Linked DNA regions of Saccharomyces cerevisiae S288C. Changing the gene in region 2 together with the main gene of any one other region gives a genetic interaction. Each region holds a gene or a part of one and is shown on either strand. Other genes may lie near its edges.

Region 1 (5,388 bases), on a different chromosome or scaffold from region 2:
GAAGTGATTAGTGGAACATAGAAGGGGATAAATTTCCTATCGGATAACAAAGAAAAACCAGGATTATTGTTTTACCACCACATTTTCAAACTTTCCCGCTGAATTTCCTACTACCCTCATTTGAAAGAACGCTTTCCACTCTTTAGGTTGGCGTTGTATCATCTTTTCTTCCATTCAATGCACCAAGACTTAATTTTGTTGGTTAAACTCTTATTCTTTGTCAGTTTAACCAACAAAATTACCTACGGTAATTAGTGAAAGGCCAAAATCTAATGTTACAATATGATTCAATCATTCTTATTGCGGAGAAGCTACCGAGAAGAACCCTACCACTGGTACAACACAAGGGAACGGTCTCATTGACCTCGTGCATAACCGGGAAGGTAACACATGAATATGCTGTGTTTGAATCATCTCCAATCCAAACTATAGGAATGAAAAATTTTTTTTGGGTACAATGTCTTCTCACAATATCGTATTCTTGGTCAGCAATGTTTCCAAGGATGACAGACTCTTTCTAAGAAAAGATTTCAAGTTCAAAATTTACATAACAGTGAACTATGCAGAAAATTTTACTTCTAGACCACGCATTTAACAATAATGTTTGCCCGCAACAATAAAGTATTTGGTCGCTTTAAGACGTTATCAGTTATTTTATGAGAAGGTGTTTACCATTCGTGCTCCCATACTAAAACCAAGGGGTAAATAGGACCCACATTTCGTTTCTGACAGCCAACAACGTGCCACTAGCAGGACAGTTATTGGAGGTTTATATTATGTAATTATTGTTAGCTGATAAATGATTTACAGAAAGCGCTGATGTTCACTGGGCTGCTTATTCAGCAATCCCCACGCATATTTACTTCAAAGAGAAAGAATTTTTGATGTAAGTTTTATTTGAACGTGGAACTTTGGCGTGGGGCATTTATGGCTGCTATCACACAAATCGCGGAGCAGAGTACCCCTGGATTATATAACACAACTCACTAAAATCGCTCAAAATTGGGGGGTACGGGTTAGCGCGGCAGCTCATCGAGGGAACAGCACCTAGTGCACGTTTAATTGATAGTATCTTCAGAACGAAATCAAATTTTTCGCAGTATCATTTACGTTTCAAGAAACTTAAAGTGTTTGGAGAAATTAGGAACGAAAAAAAGCTACTATAGAAATTGTAGCCTGTCTTCAACTGCTGTCCTCGGCTTTTGACTTGCCTAAGTATATGCCGCAATGGGCGATAAGCGGGAGTGTCGGTCAGATCTGTGGTAAAAAAAAGATAGCAATAAAAAATTATGAATTTAAACAGTAGTCTTGAATTTAAACAAGTGATCTTGACTTGAATACTTCCATCAATGAGTCGCTAAAATGAAAATGGCTGCACAATCTCCTCCGCATATCTTAAAAGGCAGCAATTAGCCAGTTGATCACCCTACATTTCCACAGAAACGAAAAAGTGTAATAGTTATTTTTGCGGCCAATATCGTAAGCTCTAGCGGTGCCTTAGCTTTATGATTGTTGCAAGAAAGTTTGCCTTTTTGACTCTCCTTCAGGTGTCAGTATTAACAAACGGCGTTGAATGTTTAAGTTATTATTTTATTCATCAAATCGACTTGGATACTTTCTCGGTGATGTCGCTAATTGGATTATACCATTAAGGTTGTCACCAGTGTAAAAATTTTGCATCGGTACTTGCAACTACGTGTGAAGGTCAAGTTACTCAACGCAAAGAAACGTTAACATTTTTACAAATTTTAGCTGCAGTACTATGTTTTAAGTAATCCAAAGGGAACTATTTGTTATATCCCAGAATTATTTACATTCGTTTCTTAGTTTCATAAACAATGAATACCTATTGAATGGATAGAAATTCTGACTTGATTTTACGAGTTATTATTGCTGACATTAGTCCAAAGACATCTCAGTTTTGTTTCCTCTACAACCCAATGAGGAGGCTAGCCAGGGCTGTCGCCCAAAAAAATAGCCAATAAAGCGGCAACTTTCTGTATGTCTTGCATTTTTTCCGCTGACTTGGGAGTAGAGTACAGCTGCGCGGAGTCGCGTATTACAAATCTTGTACTTTGCATTCTGTGCATACGTGAGGAAAAAGCAGCACCTGTTGTGAAAAAAGATAAATTTCTTTTTTTCATTTTTCTATCCTCAAAGGAAAATCTTTTCTGCGAAATTTCTAGCCGCTCTTCAGTTTCCGAAGTAAAGTCGCTGAGGGCGAAAAACAACTTTATTTGCCCACACGCTGTTATAGGCTTCCAGGGAGCAAAAGCGCAATTGGGAATAAGGTTTCCTCAATTGAATGGTTTGCTTCGCCTACAGCATTAACCAGAAGGTAATTTGATCTCTTGTATGTCCGCTAACAGATCTTGTCCATTAATTGTTTATTTTCTTCAGGTAGGCTGAGCCCACTTTGTAGTAGCTCCCTACCATTACTTTTGGCCTTGTAGTTATTGGCTTTGATTTTTTCTTTCTATGACAATCCCGTTGAGCAACCTTGCGAAGGGCTCTTTTTGAAAAAAAGGCGTGGGCAAGATCTCTGTATCCCTTTCTCGGTTTTTTCTTCCCATTCAACAGTAATTGAGTGTCGCTATTTTGACTTACCTCAGTGCCTATTATTAGCATAAGAAATGACCCACATAGTCTGAACTCTAAATAAACCCGAATTAGGAATCAAGTACATTTCATATCCGCTAGGTTTGACAATCCTCCGTAGATAACCTTAATGATACAATGGAAAGGTTATTTTTTATTATTGTCATAGAAGTTGTTACGTGAGCAATATAACACGACGTGAATAGTACGCATACATCTTGTTGTATCGGAAACTTAAAATGCTCATAGATTTTTTGCAGCTTATATTGGTTCTTGTCTCCGTAGGAAACAACGTAATGTAGCCGATAATTTTTTTTTTTTTCGCTCGTAGGCTCTTCAGTAGATACTACTACATAATCACTGTTGTACGCACCTACTATTCTTCCAGGTAACAGTACTACAAAGGGTCTGAGACTGTGCAGTAAACCGATACGCTACAAAATTTCCTTTTCAGCTTTTGCCTGTGATGCATAGCCGCAATGTCAGAGCAAATGGAAATGAAAAGGAGGGCCTTCAAGATTGAAAAAAAGCCCGATTGGAAAATCTTCCGACACGAGGTGCAGTCAAGTACTCATAAACGATACATGTGAAAATCAATCCATATACATCGCGTACGCTCCGTACCTAAAAGTATATCTGGGTTTTGCAGCAATCTTGAGAACAATCAGGTGAGAGATGCCGTTTCTCGGGGTTAAAGAATAAAATGACGGCGATCCCTCTTCTCAGGATCGGGACTATCTCATATAGGAAATATCCTTACGGGAGCATTCCACCTTGAGCTACGAGTGATTGCCATTTACGGTGGGAAATAAGGTTTTCAGTGGATACTGGTTTTGAGGGCAGATCAAGACGATCTGTTTTTTAACTTCCGCTTTAATTCTGCGTATTATTCTGTACAAGAAACTCAAACAACAACAAAAAACAAGATAAAGAATGATGCATCAGGTTCCCGACTTATGTCCCTAAAGTTTCATAAGTAAGAAACCCGCGCGAGAACGTCATTTGAACTACCTTACAGATCTGCAGGTGGCCCGGAAAGGGCAGTCGTGTGCCTTCATCATTATTGTTGTATTCTCTGTGCCTTCTTTTTTTCCTTACTTACTATTTTGCTATATATGTGACTACTACATGTTGATGTTTCAAAATACCTCTTTTATATGCCTGTCAGGGTTTGACAAGTTGAACGAAAGATACAATTGTTAGCTTTTTATTGTTCTATGGCTTCACAATAATTCCTCAAACATTAGTATACTTTTAGTTTTGAGCTTCTTAGTTATAACACAAGTTCATCACCTACCTTCGAAAAATAGCAGTAAACGCCACTAAAGTAAATTACATGAATTTTTCCCTTTCAAAGCAAAGTTCAGAAAAACAATCATCATATACAGACAAGTCAAGATCTCCTAATATAGGAATGTGTACAGTCAATTATAAATCGAACCTCCCCCTTCAAGTGTCCGCAGTTGATCAGCTGAGCACTGGTAAGGGGACTCAATTTTATGGCCACAATAGCTACAAAAATGAACGGGAATGTTATAATAGTACGAAAATAAACTTACCACCAATTTCATCCCTTTTGCCTAATTTTGAAAATAATACACCACCTAACGTAGATTCAAGGGTTCAATTCCCTCCACAGCAAGTTTATCAAAGCATGAATGTTGTACCCATTGTTAATGAGATCTACACCCCAATTTCCATGAACGCAACATCTGATCAATATCCTATCTACTATACGGAAAGTCAGCAACCAATACCACATAGCCAGTCTCCTCATTTGACCTCCTCTGCTCCCTTGATGATGCCAGTCATGGTCCCAACAGTATATAAACCATTGACACCATACGACAAAGAACCAATAACAATTGCCTCCGAACCTAACTTCACTGCAATATCAATGGCGAGTCACCCAAACGCTGCCTTAGAGCTATGCCACGATAGGCCAAAATCAGTCCCACCTGGGTATGGCGTACTTCCAACCATGCAGGAAGCCAGTAACGGCAGAACAAAAAGCGAACCTGGTGCCGTGTTGAACGGTTCAGCAACATTTTCTGATTGGAAAACTGACACCCGAATATCATCCACAAAGCTGAGAAAGCAGTGCCCAGTATGTGGAAAAATTTGTTCGAGGCCCTCAACGCTGAAGACACATTACTTAATTCATACGGGAGATACTCCTTTCAAATGTACTTGGGAGGGTTGCACAAAATCCTTCAATGTGAAAAGCAATATGCTGAGACATTTGAAAAGCCATGAAAGGAAAAGAAACAAAGTCTTAAACACTACATAGAAACAATAGGAACGGAAAGCTTTATTGCAATGGAATTTTTAGAACTCATATTCAAAGGTAAGGCAAAACTATGTATAGACTCTAATAGAATGTTTTACGGACTTTAGAAGCAAGGGAATAAAACTAATTAAGCGCAAGTCACCTTCTTTGTTAGTGTTCTTCCCAGTTTTATATAACGGGAGTGCGTCTTCAAGTTTACTTGGACGCACAAAGACGTTTTTATGTTTATGTATTATTTCGTAAATATATGAGAGGCAAAGAAGATGGATGATGATATAATATGCAAGGGAAAATGCGTAGTTGAGGTATTGGGAAAGTTCCATGTGATCACTTGATGCAAGCCGTGCATTATTTATCAGCAGATCTATTTTCACTTTTCAATTTTTTTCAGGTTGACCCTTCAATATTTTTTTACCTCTTTTTCTAGATATATTTGCAGGGTACTCTCGATGTCCGCAGTTCGTCAAAATGATTATGATTGCCAGTAAGGCCAAGTGAAT
Region 2 (5,756 bases):
ATAGAACAATGCTGCTTCGTATAGGCGCTATTTAATTAAGTAGTTATATAAAGAGAACGGTGCAATTGAATAGGAAAGGAATGACGGATTTTGCTTCTATGTTTGCTTTTATTTGAAGCGTGGGTTCTTATTTATGCTAAGTAGCTCAGTAAATCCATCTTAGTAACGATATGGATTGGTTTCAAGCCATCAGTGATAACGGCAGATGAGTTTTTTTCAAAGAAACGATTCAAGTCAGATAGCTTTGAGTTTTCATCGAATTTAATAAACTTCTTCTTACCGGATTTATTTTCGTTGTAAGAGGAAACATCATTGAAATTGTTTAATTTCTTGAAGTCCAAGTATTTACCCTTTATAGTGTTGTCGTTGTTTGAATTATTGATTGATAGTTTTCTTAGAAGCTCAGAGAGAGTAACTAAACCAGACAACTTGCCGTCTTCAGTCAACACAGGCAATTGGTCAAAGCCATTGTCTTTTAATATCTTGATAACATCAGTGACCTTAGCGGTTTCCTTAACGGAAACAACCGGTTTCAAGTGAAGATCCTTTACAGTAGCGTTACCAAACACATCAGCGTATTTTGTCGTCGAAGCCTCCAGCTTTGAAGAGTCAAAACGGGCCAACACGTCATCATCCCACAAATTGTTCTTTTTCAACCATTCGTCATCGACGAATTTGGTTAGGTACGACCTGATGGAATCTGGGAATATGGCAACAATGACATCATCTTCAGTCAGTTCAGGGTGGTCTTCACAGTATTTCACAACCGCAGTGAAGGCAGAACCGGAAGAACCACCCACCAAGACACCTTCGTTAGAAATCAATTGTCTGGCGTATTTGAAAGAAGGCTTGTCGTCTGTCTTATACCAAACATCAATTAATTTTCTGTCCAAAACCTGAGGAACAAAATCATAACCAATACCCTCAACTTTGTAGTCAGTGATATCAGTCTTATTCAAGTTTTCAGGTTGGGCTAAAATTGAACCGAATGGGTCAGCACCAACGATTTGGATCTTATCATTCTGTTCTTTCAAGTACTTGGAAATACCGCTAATAGTCCCACCAGTACCAGCACCAGCAACAACAGCGCGTAGATTATCAAATAAATTCAAGTCTTCTAGCTGTCTTTGGATTTCGCGACCAGTACCAAAGTAATGAGCTTCTGGGTTCATCATATTGTTATATTGGTCAAGTATAACAGCACCAGGAATCTCTTTTTCCAACTTCTTAGCAACACCAATATGTGATTCTGGAGAATCCCAGGCAGCAGCAGTTGGAGTTCTGATGATTTCAGCACCCAGAGCCTTTAGGACAGAAACTTTCTCGTTAGACATTTTTTCCGGCAAGGTGATGATAGTTCTGTAACCTTTGATGGCGCCGATTAAAGCTAGACCGATACCGGTGTTACCAGAAGTAGGTTCGATCAGAGTAGATCTGGAAGGATGAATTCTACCGGAAGCTTCAGCTTCTTCCACCATAGACTTGGCAATTCTGTCTTTGATGGAACCACCTGGATTGTATAGTTCCAGCTTAGCATAAATTTGTGGTTTGATACCCAAAGCCTTAGGCAATTTTTTCAGTGCGATCAATGGGGTGTTACCAACTAAGTCGATAACGTTATGTCTTGAATCGGCTTGCTGCTCAGATTTAGTCATTTTTATTCTTACGTCGTATTTATCTAGATGTCCTTTGAGCAAGTGGCCTACAACGAAATCTTCAAGTGTTGCCTTTTACTTTGGCATAGAAGCATCACGACATTTATATATACAAGCCTGGTGAAGTGCCTTGCGTTTACTTTAACCTTTAGGAGAAAAAAATTTTCGGTGTTGGTTTCTTTTTTTCCTTTCGGTGCAAAACTGTGGAGGAAGATGGCAATAAATTAGTGAAACGGTAATGCCGTGTGGACTGCATATGCCGGATATAGCATTTATCAGTCACGACAGAGCTGATTATCCTTACTTGGGTGAAGTTGAAGTTGTTGTGATAAGGTTAGAATGCAAATGAAGCTTTGTCAGCGCTGAGAAAGAAAATTTTGTTTTGTGAGCCACTACTATCACGTGCCATTACCATTTTAATCAGTTATGAAATAGGGGAATGTGTCATTGAGGGAAAATGTAATGGCCACCAAATGAATCAGAGGGTCGGATGAGAACACACCCTTACTAACTGCTGTTCATATCTCACAGTTGCCATTGATAAGCTCTGGTGGGAAAATACCCTTGATTTTTGGTAGCACATATTGACATAACAAAAGTCTTGACTTTGCCAATTGGAGAGATGGCCACTTATAGAGGAAAATACTCGTAAAAATAATCATAAACAGTAAGCCATGTCAGTATCTTACAAGGGAACAATTTCTAAGACACATTCTGTTTTTAAACCAGAAAAAGGAAGGTATTATATTTACGGGGCCCTTGGGTGTCCATTCACTCATAGAGCCATTCTTGCCAGGTCTTTGAAGAAATTAGAACCTGTTCTAGGGCTTGTGTTATCTCACTGGCAATTAGACTCCAAGGGTGCCCGTTTCTTACCTGCTCCACACCGGCCGGAAAAATATAAAGAGAGATTCTTTACTGCCACTGGTGGCATTGCTTCAGCTAAATTAGACGAATCTGAGGAGTTAGGTGATGTGAACAATGACTCTGCAAGGTTGTTCGTGGATGGCGCTTTCGACCCGGTGGAAAATATATCAAGGTTAAGCGAGTTGTACTACTTAAATGATCCTAAGTACCCCGGTACAAAGTTCACTGTGCCTGTTCTGTGGGATTCTAAAACAAGGAAAATTGTTAACAATGAGAGTGGCGATATCATAAGAATTTTGAACAGTGGCGTGTTTGATGAATTTATCCAAAGCGAAGAAACGAACGTGATTGATCTAGTTCCGCATGATTTAATAGACGAGATTGATAAGAACATCAAATGGGTTCATCCGAAGATTAATCTTGGTGTCTATAAAGTCGGATTAGCAGAAAACGGAAAGATTTACGAAACTGAAGTAAAAACACTGTTTGAAAACTTGCAGAAGATGGAATGTGTACTAAAAGAAAATTATAAGCGCTTAGAGGAGCAATTCAGTGGTAACAAACAGAAAATCTTGGCTAAATATTTTGTTTTAGGACAGAGGTTAACTGAAGCGGATATCAGATTGTATCCATCAATAATTAGATTTGACGTCGTGTACGTGCAGCACTTCAAATGCAATTTGAAAACTATAAGGGATGGTTTCCCGTACCTTCATTTGTGGTTGATTAATCTATACTGGAATTACGCAGAGTTTAGATTTACTACAGATTTTAATCATATTAAGCTCTTTTACATCAGGATGGAAGTAAGTAGGAACAAGATCAATCAGTTTGGTATAGTGCCATTAGGCCCAAAGCCTGACATTTCTAGATTATGAAAACTTCTAATATTTTCTTACACACACATATATTTATATGCATGGCTATACTTCAAAAGAGGTTGTCACTTCCATTTCCATGTAGGTAAAACTCGTGTATAGACGGAACACAGACTTCCCTAGTTTTATTGACTTCATAGTCTCTGCACCATTCAATTATGTCTCTGTAAAAGAGACTCTTCTTTATATCGCCCTTTTCTATATTCTCCATCTCCAGTTCTTTGAAGCATTTTGCTTTTCTCGATTTATGACAACCACACGGTTTTACACTCTCCTCTCCATGTTCTACCATTTCATGCCTCCAGTCAAAAAATGGTTGACTGTATTCCCTACTTGAATCCATACTTGATTCAACAAGGTAGTTTCTCGAATTCTCAGGTAGTACTGCCACCCTCCTTAAACGTTTCTCTCTTTGTCTTGCTTCCTTTCTTTGTTCTATTTTTGGCGGAATGGTAAATTTCACAGGATTCTTGGATCCATTCTCATTTTCATTCAAGGCATTTAAGTCCAAGGAAAATAACCGTATGCTCACGTTGGACCCTTCAAACGTGAAACTATCTTCACTCAATATACTTCCTACACCGCATTGTTCCTCGTTACTACTTGAATCCTGTATATCTGAGAGAGAGGTAAAAAATGAGTAGGTATCTCTTTCCCCCTCACATTCGTAAGTGCCGACTTCTTTATTCAAACAGGCCTTTCCCATTTCTCAAAGACCTCTTTTCGTAACCTATTTAGTAATGATGAAAAGTATTAAACAGTATTTTCAAGATAAGAATTTTATTATTTTGTACCATTTACGATACACATAAACCCCAGAAAAAAACAACTTTATGGGAAAAGGCGAATAGTACTCATAATATACAAGGTAAAAGCAGGCGTATCTCAGTCATACAGTTCAATAGAGAAAGGCATTTTTGGAATATCATACATTTTATCTAGCAAGTGGAAACAGACTGTATATTCCCAAGAATCATCGCCTTTTTATCACAACGTCAGCCTCACAACTAATTCGCGTCAAAGCGCATTCATCCTCGACATTCTCAAACGCGAAATATCGTCGAAAAAGGTTAAAAAGAAAAGAGAGAAGGACAGAAAAAGAAAAAAGTAAAGTAGAGCTCGATCTCGAAAAAAAGAACCATTGCGTTCGTTCTTAACTACGCCAAGAAGTTTTTGAAATTTCATCCTCTCCACTGAACAATAATACTATTATTTAGTAACGATATAGAACATTTACATACAACGTTCTAATATTTTGGCTTCTATCATCGCTTAGAAATATTTGGCTAGGAAACATTAGGACTAATGAGAGACTATAAATTAGTAGTATTGGGTGCTGGTGGTGTCGGTAAATCCTGCTTAACCGTGCAGTTTGTACAGGGAGTTTATTTGGATACGTATGATCCAACGATCGAAGATTCTTACAGGAAAACCATCGAGATCGATAACAAGGTATTCGACCTGGAAATTTTAGATACAGCGGGTATAGCACAATTTACTGCAATGAGAGAATTATACATAAAGTCAGGAATGGGGTTCCTGTTGGTATATTCAGTAACAGATCGGCAATCTTTGGAAGAATTAATGGAGCTAAGAGAACAGGTCCTTAGGATCAAAGATTCCGATCGCGTTCCAATGGTTCTAATAGGTAACAAGGCTGATCTAATCAATGAAAGGGTAATAAGTGTGGAAGAAGGTATAGAGGTAAGCAGTAAATGGGGTAGAGTTCCCTTTTATGAAACAAGCGCTTTGTTGAGGAGCAATGTGGATGAAGTGTTCGTTGATTTAGTTAGGCAAATCATTCGGAATGAAATGGAAAGTGTTGCAGTTAAAGACGCAAGAAATCAAAGTCAACAATTTAGCAAAATCGAGTCTCCATCAACCAGGCTCCCTAGTTCTGCGAAACAGGATACGAAACAATCAAACAATAAGCAATCATCAAAAGGTTTATATAACAAATCTTCACAAGGACAAGCTAAAGTTAAACAATCTACTCCGGTTAATGAAAAGCACAAACCGTCACATGCCGTTCCGAAATCTGGTTCTAGCAACAGGACAGGAATTAGCGCTACTTCACAACAAAAGAAAAAGAAGAAAAACGCTTCCACTTGCACTATTCTATAGTCACTTAATTTTATTATAAATGAATCAAGATATCAGATAAAAAGACTTTACTTGAAATAGTTTTATTATAGTTCTAAAAGGTTTAGTTTAAAGTATTAGCATACGTTGTATAAGTTTTTAAAGAAATCAATTAATAATGTTTGAAAATAAATTTAAACCCAAAAAAAATGAAATGTTAAAAATATGGACGCAACCGGAATCGAACCGATGACCTCTTCCTTGCAAGGGAAGC
Region 3 (5,373 bases), on a different chromosome or scaffold from region 2:
GAAGAAGTTCGGTGAAGAAAAATTCAACACCTACAGAAGATCCTTCGATGTTCCACCTCCCCCAATCGACGCTTCTTCTCCATTCTCTCAAAAGGGTGATGAAAGATACAAGTACGTTGACCCAAATGTCTTGCCAGAAACTGAATCTTTGGCTTTGGTCATTGACAGATTGTTGCCATACTGGCAAGATGTCATTGCCAAGGACTTGTTGAGTGGTAAGACCGTCATGATCGCCGCTCACGGTAACTCCTTGAGAGGTTTGGTTAAGCACTTGGAAGGTATCTCTGATGCTGACATTGCTAAGTTGAACATCCCAACTGGTATTCCATTGGTCTTCGAATTGGACGAAAACTTGAAGCCATCTAAGCCATCTTACTACTTGGACCCAGAAGCTGCCGCTGCTGGTGCCGCTGCTGTTGCCAACCAAGGTAAGAAATAAGTCTGAAGAATGAATGATTTGATGATTTCTTTTTCCCTCCATTTTTCTTACTGAATATATCAATGATATAGACTTGTATAGTTTATTATTTCAAATTAAGTAGCTATATATAGTCAAGATAACGTTTGTTTGACACGATTACATTATTCGTCGACATCTTTTTTCAGCCTGTCGTGGTAGCAATTTGAGGAGTATTATTAATTGAATAGGTTCATTTTGCGCTCGCATAAACAGTTTTCGTCAGGGACAGTATGTTGGAATGAGTGGTAATTAATGGTGACATGACATGTTATAGCAATAACCTTGATGTTTACATCGTAGTTTAATGTACACCCCGCGAATTCGTTCAAGTAGGAGTGCACCAATTGCAAAGGGAAAAGCTGAATGGGCAGTTCGAATAGTACTTAAGATTAGTTAAAAGTCCATGATTGAACATTGATGTGGTAGTTACATGCATGATGAATATGCGCCATGAGAGGTTGGTGAATTTTGAGATAATTGTTGGGATTCCAATGTTGATAAAGGCTGTTATATTATGTATACAGAATATACTGGAAGTGTCTCCTCGAGGATATAGGCATCCCCAAAAAGGAATCGATATTTCTACATAATAATATCACGATTGTTCCTCATTCCATTTCATATGTTTCATTATCCTATTACATTATTGATCCTTGTATTTCAGCTTTCTCTAACTTCGATGACAGTTTCTCATACCTTATGTCATCATGTCCACATTTGACACCATATAAGATAATATACTGGTAGTATAACCACTAGTTGATGACGATAGTTGATTTTTATTCCAACACGCGGACATATTAAATGTACGGTGGCTAGCAGGCCTCCTATTCACCATATTTAATCTTCATTAGTTGTACCTTTGACCATTGACAATCAACACAATAATTATGAACAAAATTTCCTGGTACAATGATTATGGTAAAGAAGAAAAAAAACGCTGCTTGCTATAACCAAATCAGAAAATATAATACTATAATAAAAATACATCAAACTACTTATCTTCAATTATTTTCCCGCATAATTAGATCATATAACTGCTGGAACATCAAACAAATATTAGCTCGCGTGGCGTAATGGCAACGCGTCTGACTTCTAATCAGAAGATTATGGGTTCGACCCCCATCGTGAGTGTTTTTTACACCAGCAGTCAAAAAGAGTTACTTTTGATATTGCATGTGTCGATGATGCAACTATGTCTTTCTCTGCGTACGGAATCTAGAGCTATGTTAAATGCTTGTTTTTAAACTATCTATCGTTCATCTAGTTATAAATTATAATTATATTACAGTTTTTCATCTATCCATTCGCGCCATTGGGAAATTTTTCTTTTATTAATACTGCCCTCAAAAGCAACTACAGATGCTTCCAAATTTGCAAATTTGAACCCGTCGGTAGACTGTAAAACGTCTAGTGTATTCTCTGCATAATCTTCTTCGTTAATTTTTCTTTCAACCTCGTTCAACGATTTTTTCCTTCTTTCAATAACCTTTTGAATTTCGCTTTCTAAAGCATCCTTGATCTTTGATGGTGGTCTTGCAGTGAACAATTCGCTTTTATTGCATGCAATTAAGATATCAATACCATTTTCGCAACTAGATTCAGTAATTGATAATATGTCTACCAAGAACTCAGCTGTTGTTGTTAATTTCTTAGGATCAACTGTTGAGTCTACCATAAATATCAACCCTTTAACAAATTTGGCTCTTGTTTTCAAATAATCTGAGAGTTTATAACGCAACTTGACATGGCCTGGGAAGTCCACTAACGTGACGCCGGAACCATCGTAATCCGCTGCTGATAACGGTTCTTGAGAAACAACAGTTGGTCTTACTGAATCTGTGGTTAGCAGCGTAAGCAAGCTCGTTTTTCCAGAATTTTGAGGACCTGCAATGATAATAGATGGTTGATAACTTTTTTGCTTGATCCCTGTCTTGGAGGATGCCTTTTGCACTGCTATTAGCGCTATGGTTGTCCCTATCACCAATAAACAGGCAATAATAAGTGTATTACTAAGCATTCTGATCCCGTGTGCTATTATGCTAATAAACAGCAGTGGTAAAGTAATAATTAATTGATCAATACAGACACTTAAAGCCTAACTATTTCTTTTCTTCTCATCTTTTTCAAGTTTAATGATGGTTCATATTTGTTTTCCATATCTCTTATTTTTTTCCGCCACTAGATGAAAAAAGTGAATGGTGAAAAATTAAGAACAGTATTGCAGCAAAACCTCTGACACTTTAGGACATAAGGTGGCCCGTCTAGTTTAGGTAAAATGATGAAAAGATGCTTCAGTATCCTACCACAAAATGTCCGGTTCAGCTCAAAGTTCACAAGTTTAAACTTACCAAAGTTAGATTTGGCGGATTTTATAGACTCAAATAAAAGAGGAATCAATGTTCTTCCGTCGTACAGAGATGAAACCGCTAGCACCACTCAAGCAACTAATTCTAAAGAGCTCAGATTACTTTCCAAAACACTTCAGGGCCAGTCGTACCGGGACCAATTAGAGTTGAATCCTGATGTAAGCAAAGCAATCAACAATAATATTATGGCTGTACATATTCCCAATAATCTTAGAAGGGTTGCTACAAATTATTACAAAGAGATTCAGGAACCAAATTCATTACATCGTCCCTGTAGAACCAAAATGGAAGTGGATGCACATATAGCGTCCATTTTTTTACAAAATTATGGTTCTATTTTCCAAAGTCTGAAAGAATTACAAAAAAGGGTAGGTCCTGATAATTTTAAACCTCAAAGAATCCTTGATGTTGGATATGGCCCAGCGACTGGTATAGTTGCCTTGAATGATATTTTAGGCCCAAATTATAGACCTGATCTAAAAGATGCCGTTATTTTAGGGAATGCGGAGATGCAAGAAAGAGCCAAAATCATTTTGAGCAGACAACTTAACGAGGTGGTCGATACTGTAGAAGAAAATGTGTCTACAGAGAAAGAGCAGGAAACAGATAGACGGAACAAAAACTTTCAAGAGGATGAACATATTGGAGAAGTGATGACAAAAAAGATAAACATTATGACTAACTTGCGGTCTTCTATTCCCGCATCTAAGGAATATGACCTCATAATATTAACGCATCAACTTCTTCATGACGGGAATCAATTTCCAATTCAGGTGGATGAAAATATTGAGCACTACTTAAATATTCTAGCGCCTGGAGGCCACATTGTTATTATTGAACGAGGCAACCCAATGGGATTCGAGATTATAGCCAGGGCAAGGCAAATTACGCTTAGACCTGAAAACTTTCCAGATGAATTCGGAAAAATACCAAGACCTTGGTCTAGGGGAGTAACAGTCAGAGGCAAAAAAGATGCTGAATTAGGAAACATTTCCAGTAATTATTTTCTGAAGGTGATTGCACCTTGTCCACATCAAAGGAAATGTCCCTTACAGGTTGGAAATCCTAACTTTTATACTCATAAAGAGGGTAAAGACTTAAAGTTCTGCAATTTTCAAAAAAGCATCAAGCGTCCCAAATTCAGTATAGAGTTAAAGAAGGGTAAACTTCTCGCTACTTCATGGGATGGTTCTCAAGGAAATGCGTCGAGGCTAAAAGGAACGGGAAGAAGAAATGGTCGTGACTATGAAATTTTAAACTACTCCTATTTAATATTCGAGAGATCACATAAGGACGAAAATACGTTGAAAGAAATTAAGAAATTACGGAATGAAAATGTGAACGGCAAATATGACATTGGATCACTGGGTGATGACACGCAAAATTCCTGGCCTAGAATTATCAATGATCCTGTCAAACGTAAAGGTCATGTTATGATGGATTTATGTGCGCCATCAGGAGAACTTGAAAAATGGACGGTTTCGCGGTCGTTTTCTAAACAAATATACCACGATGCCAGAAAGAGTAAGAAAGGTGATTTATGGGCCTCAGCGGCCAAAACACAGATTAAAGGGCTGGGAGACTTGAATGTTAAGAAGTTCCACAAGCTAGAAAAGGAGAGAATCAAGCAGTTGAAAAAGGAAGAACGTCAAAAAGCTAGAAAGGCTATGGAATCTTATAATGAATTGGAGGACTCTCTTCAATTTGATGATCATCAGTTCTCAAACTTTGAGGTAATGAAGAAATTGTCCACTTTTCACGGCAACGATTTTTTACAACATGTAAATAGAAAATAGGAAATTGTAAGTAACTGGAAATAAAGTAATAATATTAATATATTCAATACTTTAATATTCTACATACGTGAATATGATATATATATAGTACAGTTTGTTGCAGCGTTTCTAAAAAGCCAATAAAGATGACAACTGAGTGTATATTATATATGATAAAACCTACCCTGCTGGTTCCATAATTGAATCACTTTATTAATGCTCTTCTTTTGAAGTAAATTTCGTTTCATCTGTCTAGTAATGAAATTACTTTCTTCTGAAAGATGTACCCTCAGAAAGCTTTGCCTTACCACCAGTTGGGGTGCACAAAATTGTTGAGCAGGATTCGCAGGTAACTGCAGTTTGGGCGTGTGAGAAAACTGTAGTGATGTTCAAACAACCTGGGCACTTAACGTCTAGGAAGTACGATCTTGGACCTTGGACTAATGTCTTTAATTTGTGCTTTCTTGCTTCAGAAGCTGCAGTTGGGTGCAATAAATCTTGAACTAAAACCTGTTGTAGACGAATAAGAAATAAATCTAACTGTTAGTAAACTTCCTTTTTTCTCCTCATCTCGGTGCAGAATAGAAAAATAACAATAGCTTGAGTTGCTGGGAATGAAGTTCGCCATCATCAGAATTTTATATTCCCCTACAATGAACTGTAAGCTCATACGTCCATCCTGAATCTTATCCACTATATGTAGCAACCGCTTGAAATATTTCAAAAGTCTTTCTTCATAGTTCTTGCCTCTCTTGGTGCAAAATTTTCC
Region 4 (4,312 bases), on a different chromosome or scaffold from region 2:
TAAATGTAGGAACTCTTTTTTGTTCTGCTGACCATACTTACTCTAAGGAAAAAAGTCAAACATAATGTCCATCCTTATCAGTAATATGTGAAAAATTCGCCATGCTGCAGCTAATATCACCAAAATCAGTGTATTTTTGACTCGATACGTATTGTAAAACGTGCCCAGTCCTGCATCTGCATTTTCAAACGGTGTCGTCGACACTGTAAAATAAATCTGTCCTTTGAATTGCAGGCATAACTTGAAAGAAATACACACTTTCGACATATAATAGGCGAACAGGCCTTAAAAAAATTAGTTTAATGACAGAAGCACCACTCTTGTGGATTATCCTGAAAAAGTTATTTTACATTTAATATAGCGATATTGGGATTAAGTCATTTCCAATGGGTTTCCGGTCCAATGGTCCAGTGGTTCAAGACGTCGCCTTTACACGGCGAAGATCCCGAGTTCGAACCTCGGTTGGATCAGAATCTTTTTTATCGTAAAAGATAATAATTTGAAGTACATATCCATAATATAAGGGTGGTCAATATCCAAGATAAACGTCGCATTCCCATTTTCTTATTAAGCCGGTAAACATTGCTGAAATCTGCGAACAGGAATGAATGTTACAGTTACTGTTTATGATAAAAATGTCAAGTACAGATTAGAAGAGAATATCAAAAATAACAAGGGTCCCAGCAACGATGATCAACCAGCATACAATAATGAATCAAAGAGCACGGACGGAAGTGATTATGCAATGTTTCCCACTAACATTAAGTACATATTTGAGGACAACAATGATGAACTAGTAGATTCAAGTGATGCTGCTTTGACAGCAGGAATAGATAAGGTCGGAGATGAACTTGAAAATGTCATAATTGTCCAATTGGATGAATCGGGATCTCTTGAGGATATCACACTAATCAGCGACCAATATGAGCTTTTGTCACATAGGACAAATAGTCTCAGCTTGGAGGAAAACCAAATGAGAACATTATCATCACATGGTGATGATAAATCTAATGATGAAGAGGAAGAACTTAGCGTTGACAGTGATAGATTCAGAGTGGACTCGGACATTGAGCTCGATGTAATTTCACAATTTTGCGATCTGTCTCCTTTTCTTCGCGATTTGAGTTTGAATGACTTAATTAAACTCTACGTCACACAAAATGAACAATTACAAATGCTCTCCAATTCCGTATGAAAGCAAAAATGAAGCCGCATGGATGAGACTCTCTTAACTTGTTTATGTAGGTATATGTTCTCTATATTTTATGATAATTCTGCAAAATTTGCTGGCATCGGATTTATTTTGATAGAATAGAATTTTTCAATTTCTCTAAGTTTTGCTAAATCAGCTTTGGTAATGAAGTTTATAGCCACACCCTTTCTACCAAATCGACCACTTCTACCGATACGATGGATGTAATTTTCTATTATTTCTGGTAGGTCATAGTTAATGACTAAAGAAACTTGTTGGACATCAATACCGCGCGCCCAAACATCCGTCGATATCAGTACACGAGAATGACCTGTTCTAAAATCATTCATTACTTTATCTCTTTCTTCTTGTTTCATATCACCATGCATGGAGACTACAGCAAAGTTTGATTGGATTAGCCGCTGAGATAACCAATCTACTTTTTTCTTGGTGTTACAGAATATCACACATTGTGTAATGGTCAAAGAATCGTATATATCACACAGAGTATCGAATTTCCACTCTTCTTTGTCAACATTAACGACATATTGTTTGATACCTTCAAGTGATATTTCATCCCTCTTCACTAGGATTTTAACTGGATCATTCATAAATTTTCTGGTTACTTCTAAAATGTCCTTATTCATTGTTGCGCTGACAACAACAACTTGGCAATTTTTAGGCAATTTTGCAAAAATATCGTATATTTGTTGCTTGAAACCTAGTGTCTCACTCAATAATTCATCAGCCTCATCTAAAACTAACATTTGAACATTTCTTGTTTGCAACATTTGTTTCTTAATCATGTCTAATACTCTTCCTGGTGTTCCGCTAACGGCCTGGCAACCATGCTTTTGCATTTTCTTCAGGTCGTCTTTCAAAGTTTTACCACCTGTAATGGCAAATGCATTGACATTCATATAATCCCCTAGATTTTTTACTACTTGCCCAATTTGGCTTGCTAATTCACGTGTTGGAGATAGTATTAGAGCTTGTAAATCTTTCTTCCTTAAATCAATAGCTTGTAAAAGGCCGATTGTAAAAGTTGCTGTCTTACCTGTACCTGATTGTGCTTGTGCTATAACGTCCTTGCCCGAAATAATCTGTGTAATAGCCCTTGATTGGATAGAGGATGGTGCTTCAAAACCGTATGAGTATATTCCTCGAAGTAAGTCATCTTTTAGATTCATGCTTTCAAAAGTAGAAGACACCTTTAATTTTTTCGATGTTTTAAACTTCAATTTTTGGTCTTCTTCTCTGTCAAACGACATGTCTAATGAGTTTTTTTTTTGTTTCTGTACGGTCTATTTTATTTGAGTGAACAAATTTTTATACCTCTTGAAGGAGTGGTGGCCCTTTTATATTAAAATTTGTGTATAATTCATGTTTTTATTTTGTCTGGGCCCTGCTATTATCTAGCTCATCGCATAAAATAAAATTTTCAAACTTCGGCATAAATTCTCGACACTGATAGAAAAAGCAGATCAAATAGTAAGCAACTATGGATTGTACGCTGCCATCACGGATAATTCAATTTATCTGTACATTTTTCCTAGAGCATACCACAAGGGAAATCGTTTTTAATTTTCGTTTCCTGCATTAACAATTAGCGAGATAAATATTACAGGAAATGGACAGAAAAGCTGTCGAAGAAAAAAGAATTGTTATTTCTATCGGTGGAGGGCATGCTACTGGTGTTGGAGCAATTGCACTGGATTTACAAAATACTTTCAAAAGCCTATATAACTCTATCAATATAAGGGTAATAAACCTAGATAATATGATAGAAGGGAACATCAAGAGCTACAATAATAACGACTATGATTTTGATAATATCCTTAATTTGGTATATGAAAAGCACGCTGTAACTTCTCAAAATGACATGATTCAACATGATTACGAGGACCCGATAGATTTGATAATAGTATGTGGCTGTTATGCGCTATACGATAAACGCATCAACGAAATATCTCAATTAAAAGTATTCTTGGATAGTGATGCAGATAAAAGATTAATTAGTCTAATCAAGAAGAAGAACGTAGGGAGCAATGAACAACTAGCCCAGTTGATCACTGAGTATATGGACCATCTGCGCCCGGAGATGCAACAATATATAGAGCCCACTAGAACTTTTGCAGATTTGATCATTCCTTCTACAAATGAAAATCTAGGGCGCGCAGTCCTCGTGGACGGTATAGTTAAAGCAATCGAAGATACCAAAAGCCAAATAGAAGGCAACAATACGAACAACAAAATACGCCCACGTTTATGGGATTTCGAAGCTGAAACAATGGACTTGGAGAAAGATAGATATTACGATCTGTCATGAGGTCCTTGCCTTCTATATCTGCGCCACTTTTAATCGGCTCGATGCGACTAACATCCGTATTTACCCACACAAGCTTATTGATTTTTTTTTTGCATTCTTGGATCTCGATGGGCGCTTTTACTCCATTAGAACCATGCTCACGGGAAGCTGAGTTCTTACTTAGAGCTGGTCATAGATATCACCTATTTTGTTCATCGCCGTGACTTCTTTCGGCAGGGCGACTCTGCTCAGGAGCCCTGACTCGTGTTGCCTCGAGTAAACGGTATGTCAAAAAGAATAGGTCCAAATATCATATATATAGCACCTTGAACCCAAACAAATCCAATTACAGTACCCGTAGCTCACATATGTAGAAAGAGCTTTGCCTGGCACAAGCAATAATGTCTATAATCAAAAAAATTGTGTTTAAGAGATTCAACTCAACTTTGAAAAAAACTGCTCTTCATGACCTTCATGTGTCATTAGGCGGTACAATGGTACCATACGCAGGATATTCCATGCCCGTACTATACAAGGGACAGACTCATATTGAATCACATAATTGGACCAGGACAAACGCTGGTTTATTTGATGTTTCTCATATGTTACAAAGTAAGTTATCTGGTCCTCATTCTGTTAAGTTTCTGCAACGTGTAACGCCCACAGATTTCAATGCCTTGCCTGTTGGGTCAGGGACCTTAAGTGTTCTATTAAATCCACAGGGAGGCGTGGTAGACGATACCATCATCACTAAAGAAAACGATGACAATGAGTTCTATATTGTGACCAATGCTGGCTGTGCGGAAAGAGAC

What was found.
Region 1: mutations in GTO1 (region 2) and CMR3 together harm fitness more than expected from each alone (negative genetic interaction), as found in Saccharomyces cerevisiae (one large-scale study listed by BioGRID).
Region 3: mutations in GTO1 (region 2) and SRP102 together harm fitness less than expected from each alone (positive genetic interaction), as found in Saccharomyces cerevisiae (one large-scale study listed by BioGRID).
Region 4: mutations in GTO1 (region 2) and FAL1 together harm fitness more than expected from each alone (negative genetic interaction), as found in Saccharomyces cerevisiae (one large-scale study listed by BioGRID).

What each region holds. Positions count from the first base shown.
Region 1 is NC_001148.4:584,132-589,519, reverse strand, and holds CMR3 (Cmr3p), read left to right. Parts: upstream 1-3,934; coding exon 3,935-4,888; downstream 4,889-5,388. Other genes in the region: YPR014C (uncharacterized protein), read left to right, coding at 2,002-2,331. UniProt on the Saccharomyces cerevisiae protein: Probable transcription factor involved in the regulation of the transcription of genes involved in cell rescue and defense, as well as cell cycle and DNA processing.
Region 2 is NC_001139.9:794,442-800,197, reverse strand, and holds GTO1 (omega-class glutathione transferase), read left to right. Parts: upstream 1-2,329; coding exon 2,330-3,400; downstream 3,401-5,756. Other genes in the region: cystathionine beta-synthase CYS4, read right to left, coding at 132-1,655; YGR153W (uncharacterized protein), read right to left, coding at 3,453-4,106; Ras family GTPase RSR1, read left to right, coding at 4,706-5,524.
Region 3 is NC_001143.9:158,708-164,080, reverse strand, and holds SRP102 (Signal recognition particle receptor subunit beta), read right to left. Parts: upstream 2,481-5,373; coding exon 1,746-2,480; downstream 1-1,745. Other genes in the region: phosphoglycerate mutase GPM1, read left to right, coding at 1-439; tRNA methyltransferase RSM22, read left to right, coding at 2,739-4,625; 40S ribosomal protein eS27 RPS27A, read right to left, coding at 4,869-5,114. UniProt on the Saccharomyces cerevisiae protein: Component of the signal recognition particle (SRP) complex receptor (SR). Ensures, in conjunction with the SRP complex, the correct targeting of the nascent secretory proteins to the endoplasmic reticulum membrane system.
Region 4 is NC_001136.10:484,955-489,266, reverse strand, and holds FAL1 (ATP-dependent RNA helicase FAL1), read right to left. Parts: upstream 2,464-4,312; coding exon 1,264-2,463; downstream 1-1,263. Other genes in the region: ATG31 (Atg31p), read left to right, coding at 605-1,195; putative uridine kinase DAS2, read left to right, coding at 2,823-3,521; GCV1 (glycine decarboxylase subunit T), read left to right, coding at 3,902-4,312. UniProt on the Saccharomyces cerevisiae protein: ATP-dependent RNA helicase involved in 40S ribosomal subunit biogenesis. Required for the processing and cleavage of 35S pre-rRNA at sites A0, A1, and A2, leading to mature 18S rRNA.